Struthio camelus: one gene and its partners. The protein of the gene in region 2 interacts with the protein of the main gene of each other region in a pairwise test. Links are inferred from orthologs where the notes say so. Each region holds a gene or a part of one and is shown on either strand. Other genes may lie near its edges.

What was found.
Region 1: the proteins of SYT6 (region 2) and ZBTB43 interact in binary tests that used the Homo sapiens proteins (3 or more experiments, as listed by UniProt). The two-hybrid records come from large-scale screens. The link is inferred for Struthio camelus from reciprocal best matches to the Homo sapiens genes SYT6 and ZBTB43.
Region 3: the proteins of SYT6 (region 2) and KCTD9 interact in binary tests that used the Homo sapiens proteins (3 or more experiments, as listed by UniProt). The two-hybrid records come from large-scale screens. The link is inferred for Struthio camelus from reciprocal best matches to the Homo sapiens genes SYT6 and KCTD9.

The regions. Positions count from the first base shown.
Region 1 is NC_090961.1:393,260-404,215, reverse strand, and holds the start of ZBTB43 (zinc finger and BTB domain-containing protein 43), read left to right. Parts: upstream 1-5,966; 5' UTR 5,967-6,075; intron 6,076-9,332; 5' UTR 9,333-9,355; coding exon 9,356-10,750; 3' UTR 10,751-10,956. UniProt on the Homo sapiens protein: May be involved in transcriptional regulation.
Region 2 is NC_090965.1:9,981,795-9,992,697, reverse strand, and holds the start of SYT6 (synaptotagmin-6), read left to right. Parts: upstream 1-5,616; 5' UTR 5,617-5,990; coding exon 5,991-6,144; intron 6,145-10,903.
Region 3 is NC_090968.1:4,626,746-4,637,050, forward strand, and holds the start of KCTD9 (BTB/POZ domain-containing protein KCTD9), read left to right. Parts: upstream 1-6,083; 5' UTR 6,084-6,122; coding exon 6,123-6,257; intron 6,258-7,430; coding exon 7,431-7,552; intron 7,553-8,256; coding exon 8,257-8,300; intron 8,301-8,477; coding exon 8,478-8,574; intron 8,575-9,100; coding exon 9,101-9,159; intron 9,160-9,960; coding exon 9,961-10,089; intron 10,090-10,305. Other genes in the region: CDCA2 (cell division cycle-associated protein 2), read right to left, coding at 1-35, 1,479-1,669, 2,495-2,645, 3,280-3,410, 4,074-4,599. UniProt on the Homo sapiens protein: Substrate-specific adapter of a BCR (BTB-CUL3-RBX1) E3 ubiquitin-protein ligase complex, which mediates the ubiquitination of target proteins, leading to their degradation by the proteasome.

The DNA of each region.
Region 1 (10,956 bases), on a different chromosome or scaffold from region 2:
TACAAATGATGGTTTCAAGTAATGACACGTTGTCTTCTGATAAGATGATCTCAGGTGAATTGTAACTGCAGAGTTACCTGTGAGGTAACTCCTCGCAGGTAACTCCTGTGAAGTTACCTGAGAATTAGAGACTAGAGGCTGTTTGTTAAGATTTAATGTTTTCATAGTAAAAATTGCACAAATACCAAGCCTTTGACAAGTAAAAGAATTCACAGGACTTGAAGTCAATAAATGATATGTATCATGTAAAATAACATGAACACAAATACATCTAAATTTAGCTTATGGAAGAAATACAACTTGATACTTCCTTGTAACTACGTTACCTAATTATGGTTACTTTGTACATAATGGTCAACCAGGTATTACTTTAACCTAACCCACTTTGTCAGTATTAATAACTAAATTATGTTTATTGCTAACTAAAAACTCAAGCCTCAATTACATTTTTAGGAAGAAAAACCTTTCACAGGCTGAAGTGTAGTCCCTACAAACAATAAAGTAAGCCATGTTAATGTCACATTTTTCTAACAATATTATCTGCCTTTCCATTGCCTACGTGGTAAAGTTGACATTCACCACACACGCGCCTTCCCCCTATAAGTTTTTGGATCTCGGGACAAGAAAGCAAGGTATGCTACCCTGGAATAGAACAGAAGACCTAGTTCTGAACAACATAATTCCCAAAATACTGTGTGGGTTTTTTTTTTTTTTTTGGTAGTAGATGCTATATGTGTGACTTAAGTCTTGACACATTACGGGACCTATCTTTCCTTCTGTGCTTATTAGGGGGAAATTGCAATGAAAAGAAGAAAAGACTTAAGGTTAATGAATATCATGGGATGAAATAAGAAGCAAGTTTTTATTTCAAATGCAAACTAATCCCAAATTTTGCAAGTACCAAAAAAGTTAATGTTTTTTCACTATTACCTGTTGAAGTAAAATTTTAAAATGATGCAAATGCAATTAAATTAGGCTTCATGTAACAATTTCAAAATGCAAATGTTTAAGACTTGATACTAAACAAAGATTGGTCAAAAGTTTGTTAACATTTAACATATTCTGGATCTCATTTAATATTTTATATGGAACTTAGGAAAGGAGACATTATAATAATTAGATCTTTGTTCACAAAAACAGTGCCTTTCCTAAAAAGTCTAATGTTTTCAGATTTCATATTCTAGTATGCCAGTTTAAATATTTTATGGACTTCATAAAATTTGGCCTATATTTTGTCTCCATACAATGATTAGTTCCATAAACATTAACTGTAAAATAAAATGAAATTAGTTTCTTTCACAAGATTTCTTTTGCTCTAAAGAGTTATAATCACGATTGAACAATAGACTACAGATTTGCCAAGTGACCAGAAGTTGTAACATCTACTTGTACCAAATCCACCTGGGACCCAGTCAGAGCTGGAAGCGTCCCCAGCCGGCGTGCACTGCCCTAGCCTTCAGCACCATCTGCCGTTTTACGGAGCGCTGACAAGTGCTTCCCTCTTGCCACCATCTTCTTTTCCCCCCTTTTTGCAGTGCCTTCGCCTGCCCCGCCTGAGACCTTTGGACAAAAGTAAGTATATGATATCATTCAAATAGAAATCAAACATATCAAGCAATCAAACATTTATGTTAGATTGAGACATTCCAGAAATAAAATATTCTGCAGAATTACCTTAAGTAACAAAGGTCATAGTCTAAATTCCCAGCCTTTCTCTCTTTAAACTACTGAATCGTTACCATCTGAAAGATATTTGGTAATTGGCAACAGAGATGGCAACAAACTAAGTGCACTGATGCATGGATAGATAAATATAATCACAATTTCTTTTCTTTGAAGACTTTCATAAGGAAACCAAGTACTATGGGTGCAGCTAAAATTAAAATCTTCAGTGTTTCCAGATAGACTTAGAGCATCTAAACAGACAAGACTGGGAAATGTATATAGTCACTGCTTATGCTAGAAGTCTTCCAAGATGTCCCCAAGACTAAAATTATTTTACTGCATTTTCACTTGTAAAGAAGACCCAGTCATGTTCCCCCCCCCCCAAAAAAAAAAAAAACCAAACTGAGTAAAAACTGCTTTTGAAACAAAAATAAAAATCAGTGGTACTGAAATCAGGTTTTTACCGAGAAGCTACACAGAGCTGTTTTGGTGCATCCTTGACAAATGAACTGTACGAAAAATGCCATACCACCTAGCAAAAGCAGTAGCTATACTTGAACAACTTTTTTTCTTTTCTTAGAGCAAGAGCCACAGAGTTTCAGTAGTCTGTCTTCCCCAAAATGCCTAGAAATCAGTTGTCTCTTAGCTAAGATACTGTTAAAAACTGTATGAACTTGTTTGGAAGCTTGATTCCTTATAGAAATAAGTCAATTTTCTAAAGTTAAGATACAATCCTACTAGCTGTACAGTTACAACCTCCCTTAACGTGCTGGCACAAAAACACTATCCTGAATGCCACAGGCTTGTTTGGAGGCTTCAAAGGAAGTCTTTGATCTATTTTCAGCCTATAAATTGTTCTTGTGGAATCTCATCTTATTTTTGGAATGTTCATGTATGTGCTTGTTGCATGGCCAATTGAGCGGTCTGACTGTAGAGTATTTCTTGTCGTTTGGCTGATCCAGGTACCTGTCTTTAGCATGAGTACAACAGCAGGGCCCTGGCTGTTCCGTCCTAGGACAATAAAATCAGCTCCTTGGGGAAAACCAGCTACCACTCTCTGGTTATCCCCTCCTGATAGTGCCTACAGCAGCACTGATAAACTTTGGAATGGAGAACATCAGTGGAATAAATAAAGAAAAAGGAGAATCTTCAGGGAAATTTTGTGGTTATAAAGTTATTCTTACTGACTTTATATTGGAAAATACATCAACTCCCAAATCAAACTGTAAAAAGAAAATCAATGTTAAAGCAATTATGAGCACAACCCCTGAGTGGCAAATGCATCTCTTTAAGTATAGTACATGTGATGTTGGTGAGTTTCCAGCTATTTCTTTGTTTTCCTCTGTTCAGTTTTGCATTAAATTAAATTTCTGAATCACATACAGCTACCAATGAACTGCAGAAAGTAATCCGTCCGATTAGTTTCATTTAAAGCCTGTTTTCATCCAGGACTAAATTCAGTAGATATACTTTAGGTAATATGAGAAATTAAACACAGTACATTGTATGGGCATTCTTTAAAATCTAGTTTAAAACAGCTGGTAGGAATTAAATGCTGGCTTTCCATCACTAAACCCAGCTCTCAATTCTGACAGCATAGACTGAACAATTCTTATCTAGATTTATATAATAATACACCTTAATACCAAGACAAAATCAGCAGTATTATTGGAGGATGGGAGTTATTATGGCCCTTTATATTGCTTCCATCACTAAACACAAACTTTGTACAAAGATTCCAAAGAGAATGTATCCATTATTCACTACATGCTTAAGTTCGGAGAAGAATGATCTAGGACGGCACATTTGTGCTTAAACTTCAGTTAAAACAAAAAAATTGCCTGTCAACAATGAAATGGAATGTTTAATTCTCAGTATTAAACCATAGCTCCTTCCCATCCTGTATCAGAAAGTATTTTTTCCTCATCCTATTACTTAGGATAAAGCTCTGTGAATCCGCTTTCCCTTACTTATTAAAACTCTGAGATGAAGTCACTGAAACTGATGACAGAAGTTACCTCTTTGCCTGGTCTACCACTTTGACTTACTACTTCCTTCACTATACCACTTAATGACACACCCAATGTTGGATTAAACCCCAATTTTCCCAAGATGCAAAAGCAATTGCACCTTTAAACTAATGACACTGATAAGCGTGTTAACAGCCTGCTCAGAGAACCCAGGAGTGCCGTCACTGGGCAAACAATGCAACACGTGCTTCCCTTACACCTCTTACACACGTTTATGGTGCTGCTGACACAACACTCCCACAGACATCTGCAGAGCTAAATGCAAAACACGTCATTACTCTTATTTTGGCTTAACTCTTGCATGTTCTGCTATAGCATTTGCCTTCTAGCTCAGGTGCTTCCCCCCACCCCCTTCTCTTTATCTACCAGTTGGACAAAACTCAACCTTGGGAGATGGTATCAGGGATGTCTGCTGGTTTCATCCAAGGGATTCAGAACAAACAGAGCAGCTTCTGGCACAACTCTCTCAGACCATTTTTAAAGCTTTTACCTACCTTGTTAGAGGCTTGAAGCTTGATTCAGCTCTAAGACTTTGTTCTCATGGCCAGTATAGCAACATCGCTATGCTTTGGGAGCAACTCCTAAACCATCTGTTTCCTAATTCAGTTATTCTCAACATTAAAAGAATCCTAAACATAATCTTGCTCTAAATTTCATATCGAAAATCTAGACAGTTTATGAAAGTAAGGGAAAAACCTGAAAGTGGATACAAAGATTTATCCCATCTGTCCATTTTTATGTATTTCACACATATCAGTGGATGGAGGGCTATTCCAAAAAGTCATTTCCCCTCTGCCAACGCGTAAGTGGGATCCCATCTGGATATACAGAAACATCAATCTCTTTTTACACAAATAGAATAATTTATTAACATGTATTTCATTACAACAGTGCTTGTTGTATATTCATCTGGTGCTGCATTTCTACACGCGGAGTCCTCGCTGAATGATTCCTGGCTCTACACAATCAGGAAAACACAAAGGAGAGTGCCAAACTCATTCAGAGAAATTGATTGGAAGAACGTGTGTGTCAGGTATTTAGAACGCAGGGAAAGGACTTCACGGGATTCAGGCCTTCCTTACATATAGATGTAGCTCCCGCAGAAGAACATTACATAAAGTACTTTAAGCATTGCAGGAAGAAGCTGTAATAACTTAAAATAAAGGCATGATTTTTGGCCATAGATATAATGCCTCAGCACATGCTCAGACCACAAATACTGTGGCAAAAACAAACTTTTCTTGAGTACAAATTCTTACAAAATTTCCTACTAGAAATTTGTTACCCTTTCCCCTGAAACCCATTAACTTGCCAATATAAAGAAAAAGATGCTGGACTGGGGAACGTCACTGTGCTGCTCCAGTGCGATCGCCTCTCTGTGCGTTCTCAAGGCGTTAGACCGCACCTGCTCCGTGAAACGCCTTAGGCAGCGAACGACCGGCGCTGCGGGCCCTGCTGCTGCCGCGGGCCAGCGCTCCCGCCCCGCGCTCCCGCCCCGCGCTCCCGCCCCGCAGCCGCCCTTTCCAGCCGCTGACGAGGCTCCAGCGCTGCCCGCGGCCACTCGCTCCTCGGCGGCGCCCTCCCCGCGGCCTCCGAGGCACCGCCGCCGCCGCCGGGCTCCGCTGCCCCCCGAGCCCCCAGCCCCCAGCCCCCAGCCCCCCCGCCGCCGCCGGGCTCCGCCGCCCCCCGAGCCCCCAGCCCCCCGCCGCCGCCGCAACCGCCGCCGGGCTCCGCTGCCCCCCGAGCCCCTCCCGCCGCCGCCGCCGCCGCCGGGCTCCGCTGCCCCCCGAGCCCCCAGCCCCCCCGCCGCCGCCGGGCTCCGCCGCCCCCCGAGCCCCTCCCGCCGCCGGGCTCCGCTGCCCCCCGAGCCCCTCCCGCCGCCGCCGCCGCCGCCGGGCTCCGCTGCCCCCCGAGCCCCCAGCCCCCCGCCGCCGCCGCAACCGCCGCCGGGCTCCGCTGCCCCCCGAGCCCCCCCGCCGCCGCAACCGCCGCCGGGCTCCGCTGCCCCCTGAGCCCCGAGCCCCCAGCCCCCCGCCGCCGCCGCCGGGCTCCGCTGCCCCCCGCCGCCGCCGCCGCCGCCGCCGCCGGGCTCCGCTGCTCCCCGAGCCCCTCCCACCGCGGCCGCCGCCGCCGCCGGGCTCCGCTGCCCCCCGCCGCCTCTTCCCGGCTGCCCCTGGGCTCGGGCTCGGGCAGGAAGGGGCGGGGCCGCCCGCCGCGGGACCCGGATGCGGAAGCGCTGGCAGGGAGGCGGTTTCCGGTGTGGGCCGGGCAGCGGCGGCGGTGGTGGTGGCGGCGGCGGCGGCGGCGGGGAAGCTGCGGCGGTGGCGCCGCGCCTGGAGCCGGGCCGCACCCGCTATGCGAGGGACGCTGAGGCCCCCAGGTGAGAGGTCGCCGCCGGGGGCCGCGCTGCCGCCGCCCCGGCTCCGCGGGCCCGCTCTGGGGCGGCGCGCGAGGCCTGGCCGCCCCCGCCCCCCGGCGAGCCCCGAGCGCGGCCCCGGCGCGGCCCCGCCCCGCCGCCGTCGCCGGGCCCGGGAACCGCGCGGCGCGGGGACGGCGGCGGCGGCGGCGGCGGCGGCGGCGGGGGCCGGGCCGGGCGGGGCGGGGCCGTCGGCGGCCGCGGGGCCTGCGGAGCCGGCGGAGGCCGGTCCCGCCGCCGCTGGTGCGGATGAGCCGCGGGCGGCTGCCGCGGCTGGGGTAAAACAATCGCGTCTTTCAGGAGGCTTTATGTACGACGGCCTCGAGGAACCGCGTGCTGCGCTTTTGAAAGTGACTTTGTTTTTAAGCCAGTAACGTTTGCTTTGCGTGTTTCATCTGAGCGTTCCAGCCTGGAGACTAAAAACTTGTTGTGGGTTAAAATAGAAAAACTTTGCTCTCTATGACGTGGGTAGAGAAAAAGCAGAAACAGAACAGGTTGTAAAAGGAGGAAGTAAAACCTCTGCAGAAGGAAAAACCCAAATATTCTTGAAATGTATAGTTAAAAATATCTTATGTGTGTTTAGATGGCTTTGCTTTTCATGTTAGTTCGGTATATATAATATCAGCTCTGCTCCCTAATGGAATTGTTTCAATGGTGAATAAATATGTTTTCCAAGCTATATTTGCTTCTTGGACTAAGCTGTGTCCTTTTTGAAGGATGGCAGTTCAGGCTAGCAATTGTTAGGTGTGCAGGCATGCCTATTTAAATTTCAATTGAATGTATCATAAAAGGGTATCTTTGTTGTAGGCAAGCATTGTAGAATAGATGCTTATGTCTGGGAATATTCTGAAAGGAGATAAAGAATTTACACATCTGCATATAAATGCTGCTTTTAAAAAAATATTTTGTAATGATCATTGTATTAGATAACGATTTATTATGTTGAAGAAATGTACTTCAATAATTTTGTCCACTTGTTTTAAGCAAAGTGGAAAAAATATGTAACACTAGTGCTGACAGTATTCTGTTACTCAGTGATAAATATAAGCAGCTGATCTGGTTTCTTGAAGTGGGTTGGTATTACAGGTATATAGAAGGACTGATGCTTTGAGGAAAGACTGAGGAGTGTTGAAAATGAAAAATTAAACTAACTGGTAAAACAGTAAATTTCAAAGTGCAAATACTCTTTATTGCTATTACATAGGTCATGATTTTGAGAAGATCAGTTTAACTGCAAATGCTTCAGAGAGCTTCCTTTCCAAGAAAGTCATTTAAAAGCTGCTATTTCTAATATTCTGTTAGATTTACTAAATCAAGACTTATTCAGATTGCAGAACAGCTTATGTTCCCCATCAGACAAATTGTTCTCAGACTAGCTAAAAAATAGCGAAATTATAAGTATAGTAATATTCAGTACAAATTCCACATTTGCACCTGAGGTATGACAGTTTGTCATACTTTACTTCTGGTGAATTGCTTACTGTCCCTAGACTCTTTTCCCTTTTAATTTAAAAGGGGGAAAATATGCTGATTTCAATTTTGCACCTTCATGTTGAGATTTTTCAGATACTTTTGGGAATGCATCTCAAGCAGTTTGTTCAAGGATGTGCATAATCGTTTCTAGCTTGATGCTTTGAGGAAAGACTGAGGAGTGTTGAAAATGAAAAGTTAAACTAACTGGTAAAACAGTAAATTTCAAAGTGCATAATCGCTCCTGAGCCATCTATATTTTGTATGCAAACATTGCTGTCGTCTTCTTAGCAGCCATGCATTTGTGCCAAATTCTGGCATCTTAACACAGTGCACCAGTCAGCACATTTTTCTATTGACAGTTATGTAACTGTGTAGAAAGTACTGTGGTTATTTTGCACGTTATCTGTAGCGAGGATTCATAATCATGTTTTCTACATTTCATTTCTCCATAGAACTACTTCAGTTGGAGTCCTGCAACTGTTTGTAATTCAGTGTCTATTTTTGCACCATATTCAAAAAGTGCTTAAAATTCTGTGTGTGCTGTCTGCTAGCTTCCTAAATATTGTCTCTAAGGTGCACAGCCCTATCTATTAAAATTTTGACACTTCCCTACTGATGAGAAACAGAATTTGACAGGGGAAAGCTGCTTGTTATTTCATGGCTTTCAGAGTTCTATTGTATTCAATTTAAACATGATGTAGTTGAAAAATTGCACAAATTTAACTTATTCAGGGAGTTAATCTTGGTCTTTCATGACTGGTCATTATTTCTCATGTTTAAAAACATGTAAATTTATCTTAAACTTCAAATTTAAGGCAGAAATTTTGAACAGTTTTATTACTTAAGATGACATCAACTTTGTGGTAAGACATCTGGATCATGTGGGAATACAAACATTAAAATCTGAGCTATTAGCTGAGCTTCTAGCCTCTAATTTTGTTGCATTGTCACACATATACAAGGTACATATGCAAAAAATTCTGTACAGCTCAGGTATCGCTTTCCTGTTTACATAATTTAAAATGTTAAATTAAGGAATCTTGTAATAACATCTGAAAAAGCTCAGAAAGAAAGGATTGGATTGTAGTGTTGCAACTGCACAGGATGTTGCTCTTTCAACTTTCATCTAATAAAATGACAGGGAAATACCCCTGGAAGAGTCATAAGCCTCATTCTCACTAGGACTCTATGCCGCCTTTGTTGTTGAATGAATCAATATGATGACTTTTGAAAACTTTGTTTAAGGTGGAACATTTCATAAGAGTACAGTCAGTCTTTATTGGGGGATTAATGAGATTATTTGTTTGGCAGTTGAAATGCAGAATCTTTCATACACCTTTACAAACTCTAGGACATCCTGCAGTTAACTCTACTGCTAAAGTTTCATCAAATAATTGTTTTTGTTATCCTAAACTCATGCTTGAATAATCATTCTGTCAACTAGGTAAATCTGTTCCTAACTTCTGCTGTAGATGATGAGTGCTTGTGGATAGATGAAGTGCAGCAAGATGTGTTGGCATGGGAATTTGTGGCCTTGATATAACTTTCAAAAAGGGAAAAGATGAAATGGAGGGGGGAAGATAAAAATAGGCCAGTGACACAGGTTCCCAAAAGTTTTGAGTCGACTTCTGTACGAGTCCATTAGATGTTATTCCTTAAAGAAAAAAATTTGAATATAAGCAACTGGAAAGACCAAACTTTACTAAGCAGAATTTCTGATCCTTCTCTCTCTTCTTTTCCTCTTGCAGCACAACACTAGATTTGTAATGAAATGGAGTCTGGATCAAGCTCTTTTCGAGTGGAATTTCCAGATTTTTCTAGCACCATTTTGCAGAAGTTAAACCAGCAGCGCCAGCAAGGACAATTATGTGATGTGTCCATTGTAGTTCAGGGCCATCTCTTCAGAGCCCATAAAGCTGTTCTTGCAGCTAGTTCACCTTACTTCTGTGATCAGGTGCTCCTGAAAAATAGCAGGCGGATAGTCCTGCCTGATGTGATGAATCCAAGAGTATTTGAAAACATTCTTCTGTCTACCTATACAGGTCGGTTGGTTATGCCTGCTCCAGAAATAGTAAGTTATTTGACAGCAGCAAGCTTTCTTCAGATGTGGCATGTAGTAGATAAATGCACTGAAGTGCTAGAGGGGAACCCAACAGTTCTCTGTCAGAAGATGAACCATGGCAGTGATCATCAGTCCCCGAGTAGTAGTAGTTACAACGGCCTTGTTGAAACCTTTGAACTTGGCTCTGGAGGACAGACAGAATTCCACAAAGTGCAGGAGCTGAGGGATGGCGAAAATGAAGAAGAAAGCTCTAAAGATGAACTGTCATGTCAACTAACAGAACACGAGTACCTTCCCAGTAATTCTTCAACAGAACATGATAGACTCAGCACAGGAATGACAAGTCAGGATGGTGAAGAAGGGACTAGTGATAGTGCAGAGTATCAATATACAAGACCTATATATAGCAAACCCAGCATCATGTCTCACAAGCGGTGGATCCATGTGAAACCAGAAAGATTTGAACAGGACTGTGAAGGTGTTGATAATCCTTATGATGAACACCAAGTTTCTGAATCCATGAATGCCATTCAGGCAGATCATTCAATCCAGTCTTCAGGTGTTGAAGACTTTCATATAGGTGACAAAAAGATGGAAGCAGAATTTGATGAACAGGCAGATGAAAGTAATTATGATGAGCAAGTTGACTTCTATGGCTCTTCTATGGAGGAGTTTTCTGGTGAAAGGGCAGATGGAAATTTAAGTGCTCACAGACAGGATCTTATGATAGCAACAGGTTATGGTGAAGGTATTGAAATGGCTACAGGAATTAAAGAAGAAACATCCCTCACTGGATTCTCACATGCTGATAAGCTATATCCTTGTCAGTGTGGTAAAAGCTTTACACACAAGAGTCAGCGAGATCGGCATATGAGTATGCACCTTGGTCTTCGACCTTACGGCTGTGGTGTCTGCGGTAAGAAATTCAAAATGAAACACCATCTTGTTGGCCATATGAAAATTCATACAGGCATAAAACCATACGAGTGTAACATCTGTGGAAAAAGATTTATGTGGCGGGACAGTTTTCACCGGCATGTAACCTCTTGTACCAAATCGTATCAAGCTTCTAAAGCTGAGCAGAGTACTACTGAGATGAACTAAAACATTAGAGCTTACATTTGTTTAGTGGAGTAAGCAAAATAAACTAATTATGCAAATAGTGTCTGGTACTTGCTATTGTGAAATTTAAATTCTCATAAAAAACACGTTCTAATGATTATGCTGGTATGAGCAGACCAAACTTTTTTTATTTTCCACAGTGTTACTGCAGGTGTGTTAATGTGTGAAGTGCAAATGGTTAATCTGAA
Region 2 (10,903 bases):
TACTGAAATACACGTTTGTTCCAGCTAAAAGTGAGACTACCCTGCTTACCACGTGAGACAGGGTTGCAATCCAGTGCCCAAAATCTGGTGGGGCTTAACCTCCTCTTTCCACCCGCGACTCCACCAGCAGGTAGAAACCCTGTCACCAGCGGCAGGTGCGAGCGCCTCCCGTGTCCCTGCGACGAGCACAGTTCCCTTCTGGGACAACTCCTCTAACTGCCGGTGGCCTCGGTGGCTGCGGGAGCGGCCGCGGGGGCTGTTTCTAGTTCTGAGAGGCGCTGGGACAAAGGGTGCCACTCGCCGCTCCGCAGCCTTGAGCCCGTCCATCTGGGAAGCTGGGGGTTTTAGGATGGCTCTTCCAGGAACTTTCTCTTCTTTTCCTGCGACTGCTGGCTGCAGCCACGCATCATGAAGGCTCCAGCTCCCGTCGCCGCCGGCCTCGCCGGGGCAGCAAACAGGCCCAGCTGGCGCTGCCACCTGCCTGCACTCGTGCCCAGCTTCTCCGGCTGTAATTAGGGCTGATTGCCTGCAAGCTGTGAAACTGCTAAAAGCAGTGTTGGCTGCAGTTCCTGGCTGTGGGTCTCTTGGGATTGACCCTGTTGTGGCTCTGCCTTAGAAATGTTGGGAATCGCCATGTTATGGGAAAGGGTGGCAGCCAGCCCCGCCAGCTCCTGGTGCGTCCCAGCATGGTGGCAGCGCTCCTCCACCCTCCTCTGCTGCCTGTGCGTCCCTGAGCACGGAGTGGTGGGCAAAGCCGTGGTGCCGGGGTCGCTGCTGTGGATGCTCTGGATTGCAGGTTTCCATGAATAACCACTTGGAGAGACATAAGTCAGTTGTTTCTGGGGCACCGGCTAGCAGAAACTGTCTGGTCTTGCTCGCTTGTGTCCCACGAGCGTCACAGGGCATCTCCAGCGTTTGGTCTGTGTCAGCAGACTGATCCCAGTGTTGCTGTCCCGTCTAGCTTTCCGCTGTAGCGAGCGGATGTTCCCGGTGAGGACGGCCAGGCCCCGGCCACCACTTGTAGCAGCCTTGGTCCTGCTGCCAGGGAAGTTCCTGTGCCTGGCCACGGCTCCAGGTTGCTGCAGGGAACTGGAGGGCAGGTGTCTTGATTTTTTTGCCCCCCATCTGCTGTTCTCCAAGGGTGATTAGGGGGTTGTTGCACAGGACAGGCTGGAATCTGGGAACGGGACAGACCTGGCGTGCAGCCGTCCTGGGCTGCCTGGCAGATTACAACTCCTCCGCGGGCTCAGAGAGTCGTAAAAACAGTAGTTCGTGCTCCTTAGGGTGGGCAGAGCGCGTGTGATCGGGGCCCCGCGGCGCCGGGGCGGGGGACGCTCGTGGGTAACAAACCTTCCGTGGCCGGACGCTCCTGCCGCTGGAAAGCGAGCGCGGGCTGCAGGTCACGCGCCATGCCGCGGGGAGCTACGTGTGTTCAGCACGGGCTTTTGAGGTCCCGCAGGTGTCACCAGATGGTGCTCGAGCGCAGCCCGGTGCGCGCGGGCGCCTGCGGCCCTCGGGGCGCCGTCGGGGCGGTTTGCCGGGAGCGGCACGGCCGCGCGTGCCACCAGCTGCCGCGCTCCCTGGGGTCCGGACCGCTCTCCCGCTGAGCTGCAGCGCTGCCGCCGCCGTCTCCGCTGCCTCCTCAAGCGCCGGCAGGCGCCTAAAACCAGCCTCAGCTGGCCACCGGCGTCCTGCCCCGGCAGGGAGCGGGTCCTGCCGCAGGACGGAGGTGGCCCTGAGCGCGGAGGCTGCTGCGGCGCCGGCTGCGGGCGCTGCTGGAGCCCGCTGGCTGGACGGTACCGGAGCCGGTCGGACCGCGGCCCGCGGAGCGGACGGGCCCTGCGCGCGGCCCGCGCCTCCTGCCACTGCCGCGGCCCTGGTTTTATGCGCGTTGTGCAGCTCTGCTTCCCTCTGGGGAACAGGATTACTTGGACGTGCCGTCAGCCCTCGCTGCTCCGCTTCGGTCTTCGGAAGGAGCCTTCTTTCCCGGCTTGGTGCCGGGGGCGTCCGTGAGAGCGCCGCGGGCCCTGCCGGCTCCCCGCTCCCTCTGCAGCAAGCGACGCGGTTCTTGCCGGGCTTGCCTTGGCCCACGGGGTGGCTGCGCGCGCGTCAGACCAACCTCATCTGCTGCCTGATTTCAATCAATCTCGTCCTCCTCCAGATACGCTCGGAGCAAGCATCCTCCTAATGTCTGAGCAGAGCACAAATGGGCCAGGCCTTCGTATCTGCTGCTGGCTGCTGCCAAATAAAGGCTGTAGAAAGTAATTCAATAACGTTACTGCTAGGCCTGGAGACTTTATCGTGCTCCATCTTTGCAAGGAGCCCTCTCTCTCCCGTCCTCGCAGTGCGATGAGCCAGACAAGGGTGCCCGGATGCACGCGCCTGAGACGGGGGGGATACGTAGCTGTGGGGCAGTAGATGTAACGGGAACCACCGGCTGGGAAAGTCCCATCTGCCGCATGGCTGATGGACAAAGCTGGTTATGTTTCTCTGCAAAGATCCATGGGAACCGAAATGATTCCCAGTGTATCTGTCAGCTGGGAGTAACCCTTCGGTCTTCTGCGACCTTTGGAAAGAGCTTATTAGGCAGTGAAGTGATCAGTGGGTTTTTGCTGCTTTTTGCTAGCAGGAGTATTGCAAGCGCCCCCTTGAGCACCAATGACCAGACCCTCGTCCCGCTCCGGAGACGCGTCCTGCTGGCAGGAGGCCCTGGGGCCGCTGCGGTGCCACTCGATGGCCCCGTCCACCCGCGGGTGCCAGCCAAGGCCCGCTGCAGAGCAAGGAGGGGAGCAGCGCTTCCTCTAGGCTTCTGTATTGCTTTGTGCCCTAAGTGGAGCCTTAGCGAGTTTTATGGCTCAGCTGCACGAGGGACGGGTCCTGGGCGCCTTTCCTTCGGTGAGTGCTGCTGCTGGCGAGGCACCGGGGGGGGGGGGGGGCTGCGTTTTTGTGCAAAGGAGCCTAAATTGTCCACAGAGCGAAGCCACGCGGAGGCGTGCAGCAGCGCGCGCTGCCCCGTGTTCCCAGTGCTGCCGAGGGAGCCGCCTCTGCTGCCTTTTTTTTCCTGGCAAGAAACTGAATTATTTTCAAGCTGTTTCCAATTATTGTATTAATTGGGAAAGTAAACAATATCACAGTATTAGTTAGAACTGGCATAAATAAATCCAGCTCCTCTCTCTAGACTTTACTTTAAAAAAAAAAAAACAAAAAAGCTGCGAAGGGATATTAATCCAAGCTAAATACATAGGATGTTCCCATTAAGTTCTCAGCTGGACAAAGATATCCCTGTTTCCACCTTGGTAGCACACTTAGTTTCCACAGATGTGGCCAGATGTGTCAGATGTCGAATCCTGGGACATGTAGTTGGCCATGTTTGGACTCCAAACAGGCATAGCCCGCGATTAGATACGCATCGAGTGTGCTGCTATTAATCCGGCCGCAGTGCAATGCAGACCGTCCTGCTCCCTCGGGTGTTAGAAGTAACGTTTCCTTGGTGCTGGTGTTGTGCTTCCCTGCAGGGAAACCATCCTCCTTTCTTGGCCTGCTCACTCGGAGACGGAGACCAGCGTCACTGCTCTGAGCGTGGTTGCGGGCAGCGTGTGCAGCCCTACAGCCGACGCAGGCTGTGCCCCGGGTTTTCTCTCGGTTGCCTTTGTCTGGGCACCCCAGTGGGTTCGGGAGCGGCCGCGGCTCCGGGCAGCCTGGTGTGTCGAACAGCCAGCAGCGCCCAGGACATGGAGGCAAAGTGAAAAGGTGCCAAAAAGTCTGTTTTTATGTTCTGAAGAAATAATTCTCGCGTGCATGCACGCTCCTGCCAGGGCCTCCTCTTGCGACCCAGCGAGCTTGGGCTCCTCTGCAACATGAGTGAAGGTGAATGATTTGCCCAGGGTGACTTTAAATTTAAAAGTAAAAAGTTCTTGGTATTACCTTTGGAATAAAATTAGCTTCCTTCTTTCCAAATAATTTGATTTAGTTATTGATTTCTGTGTTAGAAGCTCTCAATTGGGCATTAACCTTTCTCTGAGGGTTTTTTCTCTTTTGCCTGTTGAAATCTCTTTAAGGTAAATCCGATGCAATCTATGGTGGAGGTATTCCAGCCTTTCCGCTCCGGGTGCGAGTCCTGGGGGCTCAGGCAGGAGCTGCCCGTGCAGCGGAGGGCGGCAGCGGCGGTGTCCGGGGCCGGGGGCCAGCCGAACGCTCACCTTCGCGAGGTCGGACCTGCCGGGGCTGCGGGGCCGGGGCGGGCGTGCGGGAGGAGCAGAGCCAGGGCTGCTCCCTTGCCCAGCCGCGGGTGCGCGGGTGGCCACCGCGGCGCAAGCGCTGCCTGTCGCTAAGCCTCATCCGCGACGCGCGCCCGTGCAGAGGCCAGTCTGCATCCAACTTTCGTGGTTGCAGCAGTGCAGGGGGTGAAACAGCTCTGTTCAGCTGAACCTTGGCGTGCTGAGATGAACGCTGAAGCGGACAGCACCGCAGGTGGTCCCTCTGCCCAGGAGGTTATCACTAGGTGCCAGTGTACACGAGCTCTGTCGTGCGGCCAGGACAAGGGCTCTGTGAGCCGTAGCTCCAGCCCTGCTGCTCTGCCCACGTGATCTGTGTGACTCCACAGTGGCATCCCTGAACATCGCTGCTGCTTGGGGCTGTTTCGGGACTCTTTGCTAGAGGTTGCATGCTCCTGGTTTGGGACAGTTGTGTGCTCCGGCCGACCGGGAGGTGGTGGCTTCTAATTAAGAGTGTCTCTGCATGACCAGTCGTGGGACATTGCTGGCTTAACAAAAGATTTCAATCATGTTGTCATGGCAGCAGAAGTTTTTGCAGGGAGAAGTGCTTAGCAAGCAAGCTGCGGGCGCCGGACAGCGGTGGTGCTGGATAAAGCACCAGCCAGGGCATCTGGGGTCCCTGGCCTCGGCACTCAGCGCTGCGCCGCTGGTGGGTTGCGGCCGGGCTGGGGGGCTGCGGGGGGCCAGTGCCTCAGTGCAGCCTGTGCGGCTCTGGGGACTCGCACGGGGCGCCGGTCCAGAGCCCTCCGGCCAGCAATTAACAGGCACAACGAAGGCGGTGGCACGAAGCCGAACGTACTCGGAGATGTGGGGCTGAGGGACCTGTGTGGCTTATCCCTGGCTCTCGAGCACGCTCGTTATATCTGCACAAGCTTCTCTCCTCCAGAAGCTGCAACAAGTCATCCTGCTGAATATAACTTTAATTGCCTGTTACGTGATCTGCTGCTTTTCTCATGCCTGTCAAATGTGTTCTCTGTTCAGAAGTGTAGCTCTGTCATTTGGCGTGACCTGTCTGCTAAACTACAGCAGGAATCAAAAGATGCTGCAGAAAACTAAAAATCTTCTAACCGCAAAATGCAGCGGCAGTCTCAATCTCTGTTGCCATGTGCAGCCTGGTGTGCTAGCACTGGTGCAAACAAATCAATAAGACTTACTGCTTTTCTGATGTTGCCCTTGGCAGTTAAGCAGTGTGCAGTGCCCACCAGAGCTCTCCAGCTATTCTGGGCTGGCAATGCGCTGCTCTTAGCCAGAGCATTTCAGCAATCATTTTTTTTGCAAACATGCTCTGGGGCTGGGATTCAAATCTCTGCACCTGGAGAACCGAGAAGGAGGGAGGCAGCCACGAAGGGGTTAAGAAGAATTATCTGGGCTGCAGCTTTAAAAATGCAGTATGGAGGGTATCAAACTGGATTTGGTAGGAGGTTCTCCGTCTGGTACACGCCTTGGCAGCGAAGAGATATTTGATCTCAGAGCAATAGGATGATCGCAGCACTGGCAGGGTTGCAGTGAGCTGTGGTTTCTGGGGACTGACCTGTGGCTTGGTGGAGGCTCTGCGGTGCTGGAGCCCTGCCTGGCACCAGCTGCCCCTTCTGGTGCTGCCAAGCCAAGGGTGGCACCGGCGTAATTCTGTTACGGCGATTAGAAGCGGACAAACGCTCTTCTAGTTAGACTTTCCCGGGCAGCAGAGAAGGGGTGGCAGAGGATGCGGTGTGGGAGATGAGCGGCACCAAGGATGACGGCCGCTGTCAGAGGGCAGTGCGCATCGTCGCCGAGCTGTGCCGCAAGAAAAGCCTGCCTAGTCTGGACCTGGACTCCTGCCGGGAATTCCTCCTGCTGCCCTCAGACCAGAGCCTGAGCATCTCGGAGCCAGGTAGCGCACCCCGCTCCCGGGCGATGCTCGCCGCCGCAGAGCGGCCGCACGGGCACGAGGGCTCTTGCGAGGGGAGGGACGTGCTTGCTGGCGCCGGTGCCGGAGGCCAAACGGTCTCGGCATGTATCTGTGTCGATCTGCGCGTTTGCGCTGGTTCCGCAGCCGAGCGGCGTGCGGGGGTGGAAACACTTCCCAACCTGTTGCGGTGGGCCATGAGCCCGGTGGGGTTAGCAGCCACGGGCACAGCTGCAGGGGAGATGCTGGTGAAGAGATGGCTGATAACTCAAAGTTTCTGTGGAAGCTCTTTGCCTTACTAAAACCAGACTCCTGTCCCATATAAGACAGCAACAAAAAGCCCACCTAAGAAGCTGAGATGTCAGGAATGGATCGTTTTTACCCCAGTGCAGAAGAGGTAGGACTTGCGTGGGGGTGTGTGTTAACCAACGGGGGATCTTAATGTCCCCTGTGGCGTTCGCCTTGCTCTGCCCCAGCCCTGCGCGACGCTCTGAGCTGCGCGGTAGCCCGTCAGCTGCTGCCCGAGGCTCCTCGCGCCGCCGGGCTGCGGTTCCTCCCGCCCTGCCTGCAGGGGTTTTGCTTTTCGGGGACGCAGCTGGCCCCAGGGCGCCCTGGCAGCTTCGTGGTTTGCTGGATTCCTGTTGTCTTTGCTCCCGGCGGTGCTTCCACCGCGCTCTGATCAGTTTGTCCAGCCTAATGTCTCAGTGTCGCCTCCTGCTCTGCTTGTAAGCTACTCGTTATCTTAAAGTCGCTGTGCTTTACACCTGCTTCTTCTGGAGGCCTCTTCCCACTGGTGCTGTCCTGACGTGTTGCACCCCGTACAGCTGTTTTCTGCCTTGTGAATAATTTCCTGTGGTGTTTCGTAAGTTCTTACCTTGGTACCAAAACCGATGGTTTGGTAACTGCGTGGCAGGAAAGCCGGGGCTGCTCCTCCCGCGCAGGCCGGTCGGAGAGGTGCCTGCCCGCGTCACCGCGGGCTGTTACGGTCTGTCACGGACCTCGTTACCCACCTGCAGGCCGCGCTCGCGCCGCGCGCTTCGACGGCCACCGGGGACCGGCCTGGCGGGCCCCCGCCGCCGCTGCGGCGCTGTCTCTGCTCTGCAGGCCTCCTGCGTCTGGGCGGCCCCGAGGACGCTGCCTGGCCCCAGCGCTGGGCGCAGAACTGCTCCGGCAAGGGAAACGCAATGCCCGTCGCTAACGCGGCGGCGCTGGTGACCAGCCTCCTTTCCCGTCCGCGCGGCCTGCGCCCTGCCCGCTGCCGTGGCGCCGCGCACCGTCTCGGGGAGGCCTGCTGCGCGGCGTCGAGGGGCGCAGGCCGGGCCCCGAGGCAGAGCGGGCCCTGCAGCGCGTCCCGCGGCGAGGGCAGGGCCCGGGTGCCCGGCGCCGGGCCGGCGGCCAGCAGCGACCGGCAGCAGAGCCCGCGGAGGGCGGCGCGCTTCTGCGGCGGGGGCAGCCGCCCCGCCGAATCGGCGGAGGGACGGCGTCTTGCGCGGGCGGCGGGCGCCGCGGAGCCTGCGGCCGGCCCCAGAGACCGCGTCCGCGGCGCGGAGCGCTGCTAGCCGCCCGGGGGGCAAAGCCGGCTGTCGGGCCGGCGGCCACCCCGAGCCGGGGCTTCCTCCTCCCGCCGAACAGCGCGGCGCTGGCCCGGTGCAGAGGGCCCCGAGGGCTCCGCCGTAGCTCGTCCCTCTAGGGGTGGACCGCAGATGTTGACGGCCTGGGTGCGTTAGAACAAAACGGCCAGCGCTGTGTGGCGAGGAGAGGGCGGCGGGCGGACGTGGCTGCCGGCTGTCGCCGGAGCAAAACCGACCCTGTGCCGCTGCGGGGTGAGCTGGGGCCTGTCGCCGTCCGGGCGTCACCGCGACAAACCCCTCGCTCGCCGGTGAGGCAGCCGGGGCCTCACCGCCCGCGGCCCCCGGGCCGGGGAGCGGGGCTGCTCTGCCGGGCTGTGTCTGCCCTCTCGGCCGCAGCGGGGCTCGTTTGCCCGGCCCGCTGGGTGTCAAGAGGGCGGTATGCGCCGGGGACGCTTGCCGGCTTTGCAGCACCCTGCGCAGGGGTTGCAGACAGGGATTTGCACTGCGCTGGGAGCGCGGCCAGGACCCCTGGGCTCCGTTTGCGCCAATGCTCTGCTGCTTTATTTAAATCTTTTTTTTTTTTTTTTTGCCTGAGCGCATCCATTTAAAAACAAAACCAAAAAACGAACTCCTCTGACCTATAGAGTAAGAGGTGCGTACTGAGGATGTGCAGAGGTGCTGGCGTCTCCACCCGACCGCCGCGGTGAGGCCCTGCGCGCAGCCGTCCCGGTGGCCTCGGCGCGGCGCCTGCACCTCCCAAGCCCTTCCCCGGGCCCTGATCTCGGGCTTTCCTGGCACGGGGTACCAGGCTGAAGGAGAGGAAGGCGAAGGACAGCCGGGGAAGATGCAAAACCAGAAGAGCCTTCGATAGGGTTTCAGTTTCCCGGCACGCTTTGCCAGCTGCCCGCCGGTGCTCTCGCCCTGCAGATGCTTTAGCAGTCAGTGTTCTGCCCTCGGCGTGAACTATTCCTCCCCAAACGGCAGTACAGCGTGTGCAGCACTGAGCACCCTCCTGGCGCTTCGCAAAGACTAATAAAAAGCTAAAACCACATGTTCATGAGTGTTTCTGCTGCAGGCAGAGATAGAGGTGCGTTTTTTTGTGCAATATGGGTTTTACTGCAGGAATGCTGAAGGGAGGGAAACTGGTTTACATAGCGAAATTGCTTCTGAAATATTTTTCATGGAAGAATTATTCCCTGATAGTTTGAGTAGTGGGAAAATTGATGACATACCCATTCACTGATAAGAAATATCTCCAGCCTCTAGTTATGAAATATGGATGAACCTTGAGTTAACAAAATGTCTGTAATAACACTCTTCTCTGAATCACCGTTAAAGTGCATTTTACGGGAATATGGTTCCGTAACAGTAAACATGTTTGGAGCTATCCAGGCAAAACTAATATTAATCACTGGAGCGTGTGTTTCCAGTGGCCAAGCATGTGAGGCGTAGCAAGGCCCTTGGGGCAAGGATCTCTCCTGGCACCGAGTAATGCTGCTGTGAAACGGCCCTCGCCAGCTTGCAGCGGGACAGCTCTCTAGCTCAAGTGAGACAGGTTTGTGCTTTGGTCCTGAAGGTGTCAGGTTCAAACCTTGCTGTTGGAAGGGAGGCTTCCACAACTATTATCAAATTAAGATTAAATGCACAAAACTAGAGGCATAATGCATTATATGGCCCGGATAAATGCATTATATAGCCTGTCTACGAACACGCATCAGTGCTTATGTATTGAGCGCTAGCACTATCTGTGCTCTGTGATGGTCCCAGTAAATAAAACACTCCTTGGAGCGTGTGTGTTTAGGGGGCTTGTTAAGTCCTTCTCTGCAGAGACGCAAGTTTGGATCTGGCCGATAGCTGCTGGCTGATCGGTCGCTGAAGCAGCGCGGGGAGCTGGCGGCCGTGCAGCTGCGGCAGCTCCTGCTCAGGCAGGGACCGGCATCGGCAGCGCCATAGAAACGGGCAGCCAGGTCGCTGCTGCTGTCAGCTGCGCGCGCCAGCCCAGGACGGTGGCCAGGCAAGCGCCGGGGAGCAGACGCCTCCTTGGTAAGTCCACGTTTCCAAAGTTACTTCCTTCGTTTTTTGCCTTTCTTCATAACATGGGCCCTCTTTGCCTTAACGAACGTTTTGCTTCAGCGGTTTGCCTCTGCTGTTGAAACGTTTTCTCTTGCTTTCGGTATTTTCCCTGTGTTTCACTGAGACCCAGCATGTGCTTTTAGCTGGTTCAAATCAGGGCATACCCTTACTCTAATCTTCTCCGTTGTTTTGCAGGCTGATTCTGTGAAACTGGCATTTTTGTGTTTGCAGATGTTTGTTTCTTGACATCTCTGCTGAAGTCGTATCGGTGCGATGTGTGCAGCCACATGCATACACCATGTATTCACTAACGTTCAGTCTCACGTATGTGCATTCGTTGTTCAGAGACAAAACCAGGACTTTATGTGGAGCTCAGTTCTGATATAATTCTTCATTTAACTTTGTAGCGTCAACTATCCTGGTTTTTTTTTTTAACCTGTTTAATCTCTCACTGTTCATGTTTCTAGGTACAATCTCATTCTTCCTTACGACTCTGTGTTTCCATCTCATGTTGGTTGGGCATCTTTATCTAGCTTTAATATTTGTTATTTCCTCTTCAGAGGCAATAGTGTGTGTATATATGTATATATATATACATATACATATATATATATCTTTCCATCTGTAAAGCATGAGAACAGGAAGCTTATCTGTAACAGCCCTTATCATGCCCCTCCAGGGGACTCATTAACGTAATGGTCACCTACGATGGCAGTGGTTCAGGGGCGATGCGATTCATCTCTGTGCCATGCATTGTCTTTAATTGTACTTGCACGTTGCAAAATGGCATCCTGGAGGGCTGCAGAGGGCATGTTTGGAGTGACTGTAAATTAAATTGTCTATGGAAAAGAGGAAGTTATCCTGCAGGTGTTTTATACCTAGTGAAACTGCAGATGCTAATTAGGGGCACCTTTATGTTTAGTCTGGTTTGTTAGGTTGTTGCATGTCAGTGTTTGACAACATCACGGGAAACCGAGCAGCGAAGACTAAAGGCGGGATGCCAGAAACTCAGTTCATGCAAGCCCTATTTTCAAAAATAATTGGGACGTATAATCCTAGAATATTTAGTTCCATTGATAGTAATTGCCCAGAAATTCTAG
Region 3 (10,305 bases), on a different chromosome or scaffold from region 2:
AACTCAACGGGATTTTGCTGCTCACCAATCGGTTCCTAGAGATAAAGCGATAAGAAGAATAAAAAGGTATTACATGTAACGATACAATAAAGAAATTAAAAATATAATCTGTTGGCTTTTTGTGTGAAGCACTTGATATTAATCTGTTTGGCCTCTCTCCTCGTTATCCATTTTTTGAAGTATTGCTTCAAACGGTAATTTACTAATGTCACAAACGTCAACTACCATTCTTAAAAGGGAAAAAAGCACAGAAGAATACTGAGGTTTCTCAATCCTCAACTGCAATAACAGCTGTTAAATACAGTAGAAAAATATTTCTTTCATCTGCTTGCTGAACATTTTAACCTAAAAAGAATATTTCACACTTACTGACCAAAGGATCCTAAGTTTCTCAAATCAATCTCAATACTCAAAGAAAGGGCAGGATAGTGTACTATCACTACACACCATGAATAACCTGAAACCAGACAAAACACAATAAAGGATGAACTCCAAGTCTATTAAATACAGGACTTCAACAATAGGGAAGCACTCCTCACCATATCTGGTCCGTAACCACTTGCAAATGGTGCCTTTTAAAACAGCATGAACTACAGAGCTTTTTAACACCTTCAAAGATAAGGATTTCAACATTTTCTCAATCATCTACTGCTTTAATTGAACTAGTTTTCCCAAAATAGCAGGGCTAAACGCTTAAAGAATCAGATGTCAAAAATGTAATGGTTTTTCATGCTCTTTCTTTCATTTTAATCACTAATTTAGGAAATTTCTTCCTAATCTCCATACAACTGTTCACACTGTTGCAGGCGTTTTACAACTCAGGAGTCCCGCAACATCAGAGCAACGTGAACGTGTCTGGCAAAGACGGACCCTAGCTTCGCTATTTTTATGTATGACGCTAATAAAAAGATCACTAGAAATATTTATGGGCAAGATATTTCCCACAAATGAATTTCTCTATCTGTATGCAATACTTTGTTCTTGTCTTTGCATGGGATATCAAATAATTGCCAAACATAAAAGATGAAGATGAAAAATTGCATTCAAAGGTCATCCCAATGGTTAACAAAGTTGGAGCTGACTTTTGGAAAAAGCTGTACTTGCCAAATCTGTGGATTTGAGATTCCACACAGTTGCAGCTATGAATTCAAAACCAGAATTAAGAAATATTTACATTTTGTTAATAGAATAAAATAAATTTTCCCTTTGATTATCAGAATAGAACATAATCTTCTCGAGGTGAACAGCTTATAGCAACTACATTTAATATTTGCGCATAAAAGAAAACTGAGCATGGCCTCACAAGAGCCAGCAACAGATATCTTAGGTTAGGCTATATTTTCTGTCAGTCCAGACAAAGCAGTGTCCATACCAGATTGCTTCCATCGACTTTCCATAGTAAGAATTTACTTCTTACAAGGAAAATTTGCAGTGCCATTTATCTTCTCCAGGTCCTCTACCTACACTCGGATAAGTACCTTCGAAACAGCAGCAGCAGGTTCAGTGACAATCACATCTTGGTGTAAAGACCAGGTACTGCAAACCTTGATACCAGCCTCATCGTTGTTGGTGAAATTTTGCTTGGAATCATCTCCACTGTAGACAGACTTTAACTTTTCACTCCACTGATCCTCGTTGCGCTCTTTTGCGAAAGGTACTTTGTTCTGAGCTGCATCAGTTAAAAAAGAAACAAGAAAACCCACCAAGCCCACACACAAATACAAACGTCAGATTTTTCATAAATGCTATTTTTGTATTTATTTATCAAAGGGATGGTGAGATTCAACAAGCTGGATTTTTTCCCTCCCTCACTAGAAAATAAGCATGAAATTTTGTGTTTTATTTTGGAAATAACATAAATTACCAAATCTCCAAAACAGAGTCATCTTTTTCATATGAACGTTATTAAGAGCATCAATACTAGAAAAGGTAGAGCATTATAGTTTACTTTACAGTATCATCTGCCCGTAGTTACCACAGTACCACTGTGACTTGCTTTTGCAATATTTAATATTTTCATCCAGAAATAAGGAATCTAACTGAACACTGTAAAACACGGTTTCTGAAGTTACTGCACTTAACAGTTATTATACAAAAGTCTCCACCTTGTGATCAACACAGAGACCAGTTGCAAAACTTATAACAACTGGTGTTAGCTCTTAAAATCATTACTGCTTTTACGGAAGAAGTGAGAAAATGCAAATACACTAATGCTTAGTGACAAGTATAGTGGAAGTTATAAATCTAGAAAGTAAACCTTTTCTTCAGGGGTTATTCTGAGAAATCACTATGCAGGACACACTAAGAAATAAGACAAGTTTAAACCCACAAAAAAACCCTTCAAACTAAACAAAAAAAACCCCCACTATCAATCTGTGTAATGGAAGATATTTTTGTTCTAGAGTAAGTGCTTGTTGTTTCACTTTTTTTGCACTAAAGAAAGAACTAATGTTTAGGATAAACTTTTGACCAGAAATAATTAAATAAAACTTACAACAGCCTACTTCCTGGGAAGCATCAGCCACCTGTGAGAACCCAGAGAAGCCAGTGTTCCCTTCATCTTCTTGCACTGATTTAAAGGATGTTTGAAAAGCAAGTATTTTGTCCTTTAATGATCCAGCATTTTGATAGTTAAAAGGATTAACCTGCAAAAACAAAATTAAACCTCATGAGTCTTTTTTTCCTAGGATGAGGATTTCTTTATTACTTTGTATTTATACTTTAGCATAACACAAACTGGGAGAAGAAGCAATTCTTGTGTTTAATCTGGCTGCTGCTTTAGTTGTATAGTAAAAATATATAAGAAAAAAATTAGAACAAGAAGTCTGTTAAGTTTTATTGCCCTTTCACGTCTCCCTCTAGATCGTATTCACAATTTGTTTTCTGACAGCATCTGTTAGAGTTAAAAATGAGTTTAATTTAAAAAGTCATTTATGCTAGTATTTACTTCACTTTGAAGTATCAATGCTTTAATTACGTATAGATCAAGCATGACAAATGCAGGTAAATAAAGTTTACGTTAAAAAAATTAAAATATATGAGTACGTTGGACACGAAGAAAAGACTCCAGACTATAATCAAACAAAACCTATCGCATTCCCTATTTTAAAGTAAGGCGCCCAAAAGAATTCAACAAAATTAAGGCCATGGTTATTTATTATATTGCTTTCCTTAAAGACTTACCTTTTCTTCCCATCAGCATATATTAAATTTGAAAATTTACATGTTATTTCCTAGAGGAATAAACGGACACATTAGATATTTGACAAAGATTCTCACCTGTGTAAAAAATTCTTTCTGCCTGTTCTTTCTCTGCTGTGCAAGGTATCGAATAAAGGTGTTATTTTCTGGGGACCCCCGTACTCCGATTGTTGACCTTCGTCTAAACTTTAACGGTGTCGGAGAGTTCTCTGAAATCAACATAGGAGGAAAACATACTATTAAACGTCACATGTTAAAACACTTAAAGCTTTAATAGCAGAGAAAAAATAAAAATTAAAGATTTTTTTTTTTTTAAGGATCTATACTGTTTATAGAAAAATCCAGATTGAGCTGTTCAGCTCAGGAGACATTCCTTCTATGCTATTTTTCAACAAGGTCCCTAAAAATAGGTTCTAGAACTCTGTTCAACTAAGATAAAAATAAGAAACTGGAACATTCCTTTTCTATACAAATAGGAACTCAGACCTTTTTTTTTTCTCCTATGCACAAAAAAGAACACTGCAAAAAAACAAGTTCATAGTTACACTATATTTCTAGTGAAGGGCTCTGTCTTTCTCTTTTTCAATGGCTAATTGAGGAACTGCCAATAATACTTGCACAATTTTTGTCTTTCTACTCTGTTGAGAAAGTCACTGACACCAAGCTGAATAGAAAAAAGTTTAAATTGAGAATTAAAGCAACATTACATCAGACTCAAATCCTTAGATATCTGAAACTCAACTGGACATCGTCCTGAGTAACCTGAATCTGGCCTCATTTTGAAGCTGATCCCATTCTGAGAAGGTGGATCAGATGACCTCCAGGGTTCCCTCCCAGAAGCAAACACACTTCATTAGTCACCCCAGCCTTACCTATAGATTGTTTAGTAAAAGATTCTGGAGTAATCCCAAATTCAGCAATTGTTACAGTTGCAAAATCAACAGGCTTTCTCCTCAGTCTCTGTGATATTCCACAATCATGTTTTTCTTCTGCTTTATCTCTATTTGGTGTCAAGTAGCTTTCATCCCCTACAGAAACAGGCCCACTTTTTGAAAAATTTTCCTTATTGCTCAAGGGCAAGGTAGGTTCACCAAACGTCTCTCTATTTGGTGTATCAAAAAAGCATTCAGTGAGCGTATAGTTGACAACATCCTTGCAGTTGTGGTATGATTCTTTCTCTAGGTCTTTAGTGCATTTTGATGTGGATTTCCGCAACGGTGCTTGGTTCCCATCATTTAAATTCTCCTTCTCAGATGCCTTTGTGATTTTGGATTCAGTCACTTTGCAAATCTTCCGGTCTTTTGACAGAGCAGGGAAACAGGCCTCTTCCTTCTCTTCAGTACTTCTACTCTCATTTTCTTTCACTTTCAAGGTAGCATTTTTATTTTGTCTGTGCATTGTTAGTGATTCTAAGACTACTGAGATATTTAATCAGTCTCTGTCTTCCTGTAATTACAGCTCCCTACCAAAAGGGAGAAGAGATTTAACAGGTATTTGGTAAGAGCTACCGTTTGCAAACTTCTACCAAACCTACGAGTTTTCTGAAGGCATTTTCTAGAGCTAGGGGGTTAGCAGAACGCATGGAAAGGAAAAAAGCGAATCTCAGGAAGGCTACACAGAAAGGCTACCTAGGGCTGGTGCTAAACAGAGAAATTCACGCTAGGGTAAACCTATAAAAGAAATGTTACAGAAGTAAGGAAATACAAGGCTATTCTTTTATCCTATACCAAACCTAAATCTTACGTTAACATAACACATATTAAGCACAACCACTTTTGTGATTACTTTGTTGCAAAAACTGTTGCCATGGGTATCAGCACTTTGAGATTACCTTTGGCAAGTTTAAGATTCGAACATATTTTGCATTCAGCTTTCTAGATTTAAAAGCTATGCACACAGAGTTGAAGAACATCACTCAAACTTCAGCTCCAAAAAACGTCTGTTTCTGTATTTTGCATACCCAAAGTGAAGCCGTTAAACACCGTGTACACACTTTTTTCTTTTTTTTTTTTTTTAACGTGAACACCAGAAGTTGAAGCCAACACCTATCTGGTCAGAGAAACGAGACTCGGTTACCCAAGCGAGAAGCGTCCAACGCCGGCCGTTACCAATGACGCAGCCTTTTTCCACGCGCCCCTCCAAAGCGCAGCCCATACACCCCCTTCCCCAGGCACCCCGCTTCCCTCGCGCGTCCCCTTCCCCGGGCGGCCCCTCCCCGAGCACGCGGCCCCTCGCATCCCCCAGTACCCCCTCGCACTCCCCGGGTCCCCCACGCCCCTCCAAGCCCTCACCAGCGCTCCCCCATCCCTTTCTGCCCCGCAGCACCCCCCCCCCACCGCTGGTTCCCCCACCGCTGGTTCACCCCTCGCCGGTTCACCCCCTCACCTCCGCCCTCACGCCCGCCCCAGCGCTTCCCCACAACCGCCAGCCCCGCGCCCGCCTCCCACGTTCAAACCGGGCCGCACTACTGCGTATCCCTCCGCGCCTCCGCCCCTCTTCCCTCCCGCTTTGCGCCCAGCAGCCGGTAGGCGTCAGGGCCTGAAGCGCACGAGGAAAAGGCGGTTCACAGGGGCCCGGCCCCGTGCCTCCCCCCCCCTCCCCGCCCCTCACGCCGCTAGGGCTCCACAGGGAGGAGGAACTCTTTGTCTCCCTGCGCGGAGGCATCAATCACACTCCCTCACGCGGTGAAGTGTCTTTTCGATAACGGACCGTTAAACGAACACCGCCCACGTGGCCGCCCTGCCAATCAGGAACTTAGGCTCTACTTCCACTCGCATGCAAATATAGCACTTTGCTCCTCCCTTGATTGGCTACGAGCAGCGCTACTCCCGCCCCGCTCCCCGCCGCTCCTATTGGCGCATCGCCGCCCAACCCACCGCCCCTCCACCGCGGCGGGGCGCGGCTCCGGTTGGCTGCAGCCCATGTCGGTCAGCGGGCGCAGCCTTCTGGGTGCGGCTGGAGGAGCGGGGCGCTGCCGCTGCCGCCGCCGGAGCGGCAGCAGCAGCAGTATGAGGCGGGTCACGCTGTTCGTTAACGGCAGCCCCCGGAACGGGAAGGTGAGGGGCGGCGGGCGGTGGGGTTGGTCCGGCCCGGCCGGCACCGCGGGGCGCTGGGCGCTGGGGCCGCCGCGCGGGGGCTCGTCTCTAGCTTGCTGGCGGAATTGAACCCCGTTCCCCTCCCCGCTCCGCCCAAGCGCTCGGCGGAGCGCCCGGGCCGGGGGCCGCCGCCGTCCCGCGGGCGGGTTCCCCGCCGGTGCCGCGAGGAAGCCCTGAGAGAAACCTCTAGCGCGGGCGGCCGCCGCCGGGCCGGCGGGGCGCGCTCCTCCCTTCTGCCCCCGGCGCTGCTCCCCGGCCGCTGGTTCTGTCCCCGTTTAGGGCCTAGTCCTCGGGCCGCTGCAGCGCACAGAAAAGCTTGCGTGGCCCTCGGGGGCAGTGGGGTTTTATTCACCGTAGTCTAGCCTCGAGTGACGTTTCTGCACGTGAGCGCTGAAGAGAAGCACAAACAGCTAAGATCCGTTTACTAACGTTGCAGTGCAGTTAAAGTCACCTTCGTGCTGGCATTATTAATTCAGGCCCTGATGTTCTGGCAGCAACAGGAAGCACGTAAATTAAGTCCTGCGGGCTGTTTATGAAGCTGTTTTTTGCGAAACGGCCATCTGAGTCTGCATTGGCCGTTAGTCTTAAATTCTGCACAGCAGAAATGCCATCAAACCAGTACAGTTTACTGCAGGTCCTACTGCCAGGTCTCTGCCATGTCTAACCGGCACTGCATGTGAATGTTTTCTGTTGGCTAGCCAATAAATAATCTTGCTTAAACTTTTCTGACTTGTTAAAACCTATCTAGTCTCAAGAGTGAGCGTAGCTCACGTTTCAAGGTTCAGCTGCTGCACAAGCAGAACGGGAAATGGGCCCACTGTACAGTTCTACTAAATGTAATCCCTGATTTCCTTAGAGAAATTAACAGCTGAGTCATAACATCCCTATAGTACTGACATTCTTTTCCTGATGCTACCACTTCTGTACAGGGAGTCTTGGCTGAGAGATGTGTAATTAAGTCACCCCATTTTAAGGGACCTATGTTTCTTATATCGAAGTTGACCCTGTTTTTTTAAGGAAAGGTCCATACATGTCTTCCTCTCCCCAGGGAGAAGACATGGCTAGCCTACTACTCTGAAATGGCAGAAACTATGCATGCATGGTATCCACAGCAACCTCTCTTTTCTTTCACAGGTTGTGGCCGTGTATGGAACTTTATCAGACTTGCTGTCTGTGGCTAGTAATAAACTTGGAATAAAAGCAACTAGTGTTTACAATGGAAAAGGTGGACTCATTGATGATATTGCCTTGATTAGGTAAGGCTTGTCCAATAGAAGTTATCATGGATGAGGATTTAAGACACTCAGTATATCGTATTTATCCTCTGACCTTAATCAGTAACCAGTGCTTTCCTTAAATCATCTAATCACTTCCAACCAATATGCGAGAAGTCCTTTTATGCCTCCAGGAAAACAATAGTCTCTTAAACTTCTTAGCGTTTATATCTTGATGAGTCAGAAATTGATACAAGTTGCATTTTATGCCATTTAACATCACTCTGTGCTGATCCACAGCACAATGTACATACCAGGAGCATCCCACTATTCTAGTCTTGCATGTCATTCTTATTTTTCTGAAAATGATGGGATAGCGTTTGGATGAGGTTTTTAGAATAGGCAGACAAACTGTAGCATTGCATTATCTTCATTTAAAAAAACTCCCAAAGTGAGGGGAAAAGCAACTTCTGTAAAATTTAACTGGCTGAGTAAAGGAAGCGATCCCTACCAGGTTCGTACAGGTATGTATCGGTAGCATCTCTAGTGAAGCTGATAGTATTAAGCTCTGCTGAAACCTGCAAGAGTAAAATAAAAATGAGATACTGAACTAACTAATGGCAACTGATTATTATTTACCTGAGACTAATCAGGAGGGGATCCCACTGTCACTTATATAAAAGAACAAAAAAGCATGGTTAATAATTTCTCTGCTCTTTCTCTCCCCCCTGCCCCTCCCCTTCCAGGGATGATGATGTTTTGTTTGTCTGTGAAGGGGAACCGTTCATTAGTAAGTGTGTGTAATTCTTAACGTTTAACATTTTGCTTAATGAAAAGAGGTTTTTGTTTTGATGTAAATCTAAAACTTTATTTTCTGATATTTTTCAAAAGAGACCGTTACCATATGGAAGATTCAAAAATATTCACGATTCTTCTAATAATTACTGCGTTGTTCTCACTTGTGTAGATCCTCAGACTGATGTGAGACCTCGTGAAGAACTAACAGGATCACACACAGATTGGTTAACACTCAATGTTGGAGGCCGGTACTTCACAACTACGCGGTAAAAGTACAACTAGTTTGGTTGTATTCTGAAAGGACTTGATTTCAGTAAAGTAGTTATAGTAGGTTGCCATTAGTGTACGTTCATTTGGTGAGGCTTCAGATGTTCTTGAACTAGCAACATCTTTGTATGGGGCAGGGGGGCTTTGACTTCTGCAGCTTTCTCAGGATTAGGTATTTGCTACTGCAGTTTTGCAACAACGTAATCCTTTAACAGTTTACATGTGAAATAAAACTGGTGAAAAGGCTGAACAGGCTTGGAATTATCTCTGGAATATTTCAGTTAACTAAGTGCTTTGTGTTTGAGGTACTTTTGCGATACTTTAGTTTACTAGGTCAGAAATGTATTTCTTTATCACATCATATGAAATTAAATCAGTCTAGTATTGTAGCTGTTAGAATGCGTATCGTGTACCATTATTGCCGGCAAGCTGCCGAGGGGAGGAAATGCACTCTAACCAGCAAGTGCATCTCTTAAGCAAAACTTTCCGTTTGAAAAATAAAATTGTGCTGCCTTTATTTTCTAGGAGCACTTTGGTTAATAAGGAACCTGACAGTATGTTGGCTCATATGTTTAAGGACAAAGGTTAGTATATTGAAATAAAGTTTATCTTTTAACCTAGGAATTAGCAAAAGGCACTATCAAGGTAAAACTCCTGTTTGCATGTTAAAGTATCAAAACAGAACATATAATTTATTTCTCCAATGCCTATGTGATGTTTATCAGACATCTCACACACTGAGAATATAATTTCTACCCATAATAAATACTTTGGGGGTTTTATTTTCATATTGGATTTTCTTCTTTTTTCTTGCACCTTGCTCAGCTTTGTTAATAGTAGTCACAGAATCACAGAATGGTTGAGGCTGGAAGGGACCTCTGGAGATCATCTAGTCCAACCCCCCTGCTCAAGCAGAGTTGCCTAAAGCATGTTGCTTAGGATCGTGTCCAGATGGCTTTTGAGCATCTCCAAGGAAGGAGACTCCACAGCCTCTGTGGGCAACCTGTTCCAGCACTCTGTCACCCTCACAGTAAAGAAGTTTTTCCTCGTGTTCCGACGGAAGAACATGTCAACAGAAGCAGCTGGCAAACACTGTACAAGACAGCCTTTAGAAGCAGGGGCAGACTAAACACTGCTTTTATTCTGGCAATGGTTCTTGTACCTGTGATAAAATGTCTTTAGGTTATGTCTCTACATAGAAGAGAGATTTTTAAGGTGATTGTTTCCTTGCTCTTATTTTCTTTCCTTTTCTCTAACGAAATGCCCTTTAAAGTGAAATGTTTGTCATCATAATCCAGGACCCTATGGTAGTAACAATCTGAGACTGAAGCAAATGCTCCTCTCTTAATACATCAAATTTAATTACGTATATCTTGTGGAAACAGATGCTTGGAGAAATAAGCAAGATAATAGAGGAGCATTCCTAATTGACCGCAGTCCAGAGTATTTTGAGCCAATCCTGAACTATTTGCGTCACGGACAGCTCATTGTAAATGATGGCATTAATTTGCTAGGTAGGTACTACTTGTATGACATCTTCTAAATTATTACGCTTTAGAAGTTGAACTTTGCCTGCGGATAAACATGATAAAACCAGTGGGACTTGTTCACCTTAAGATTTGGTGCATTTTATTCTGGGTTCAATTCCACATGTTTGGCTAAATGAAGATATACTGTTTAAACTTATTTATCCTGAGAGCTTTAAAAATTCTCCATGTTGGATTAATGGT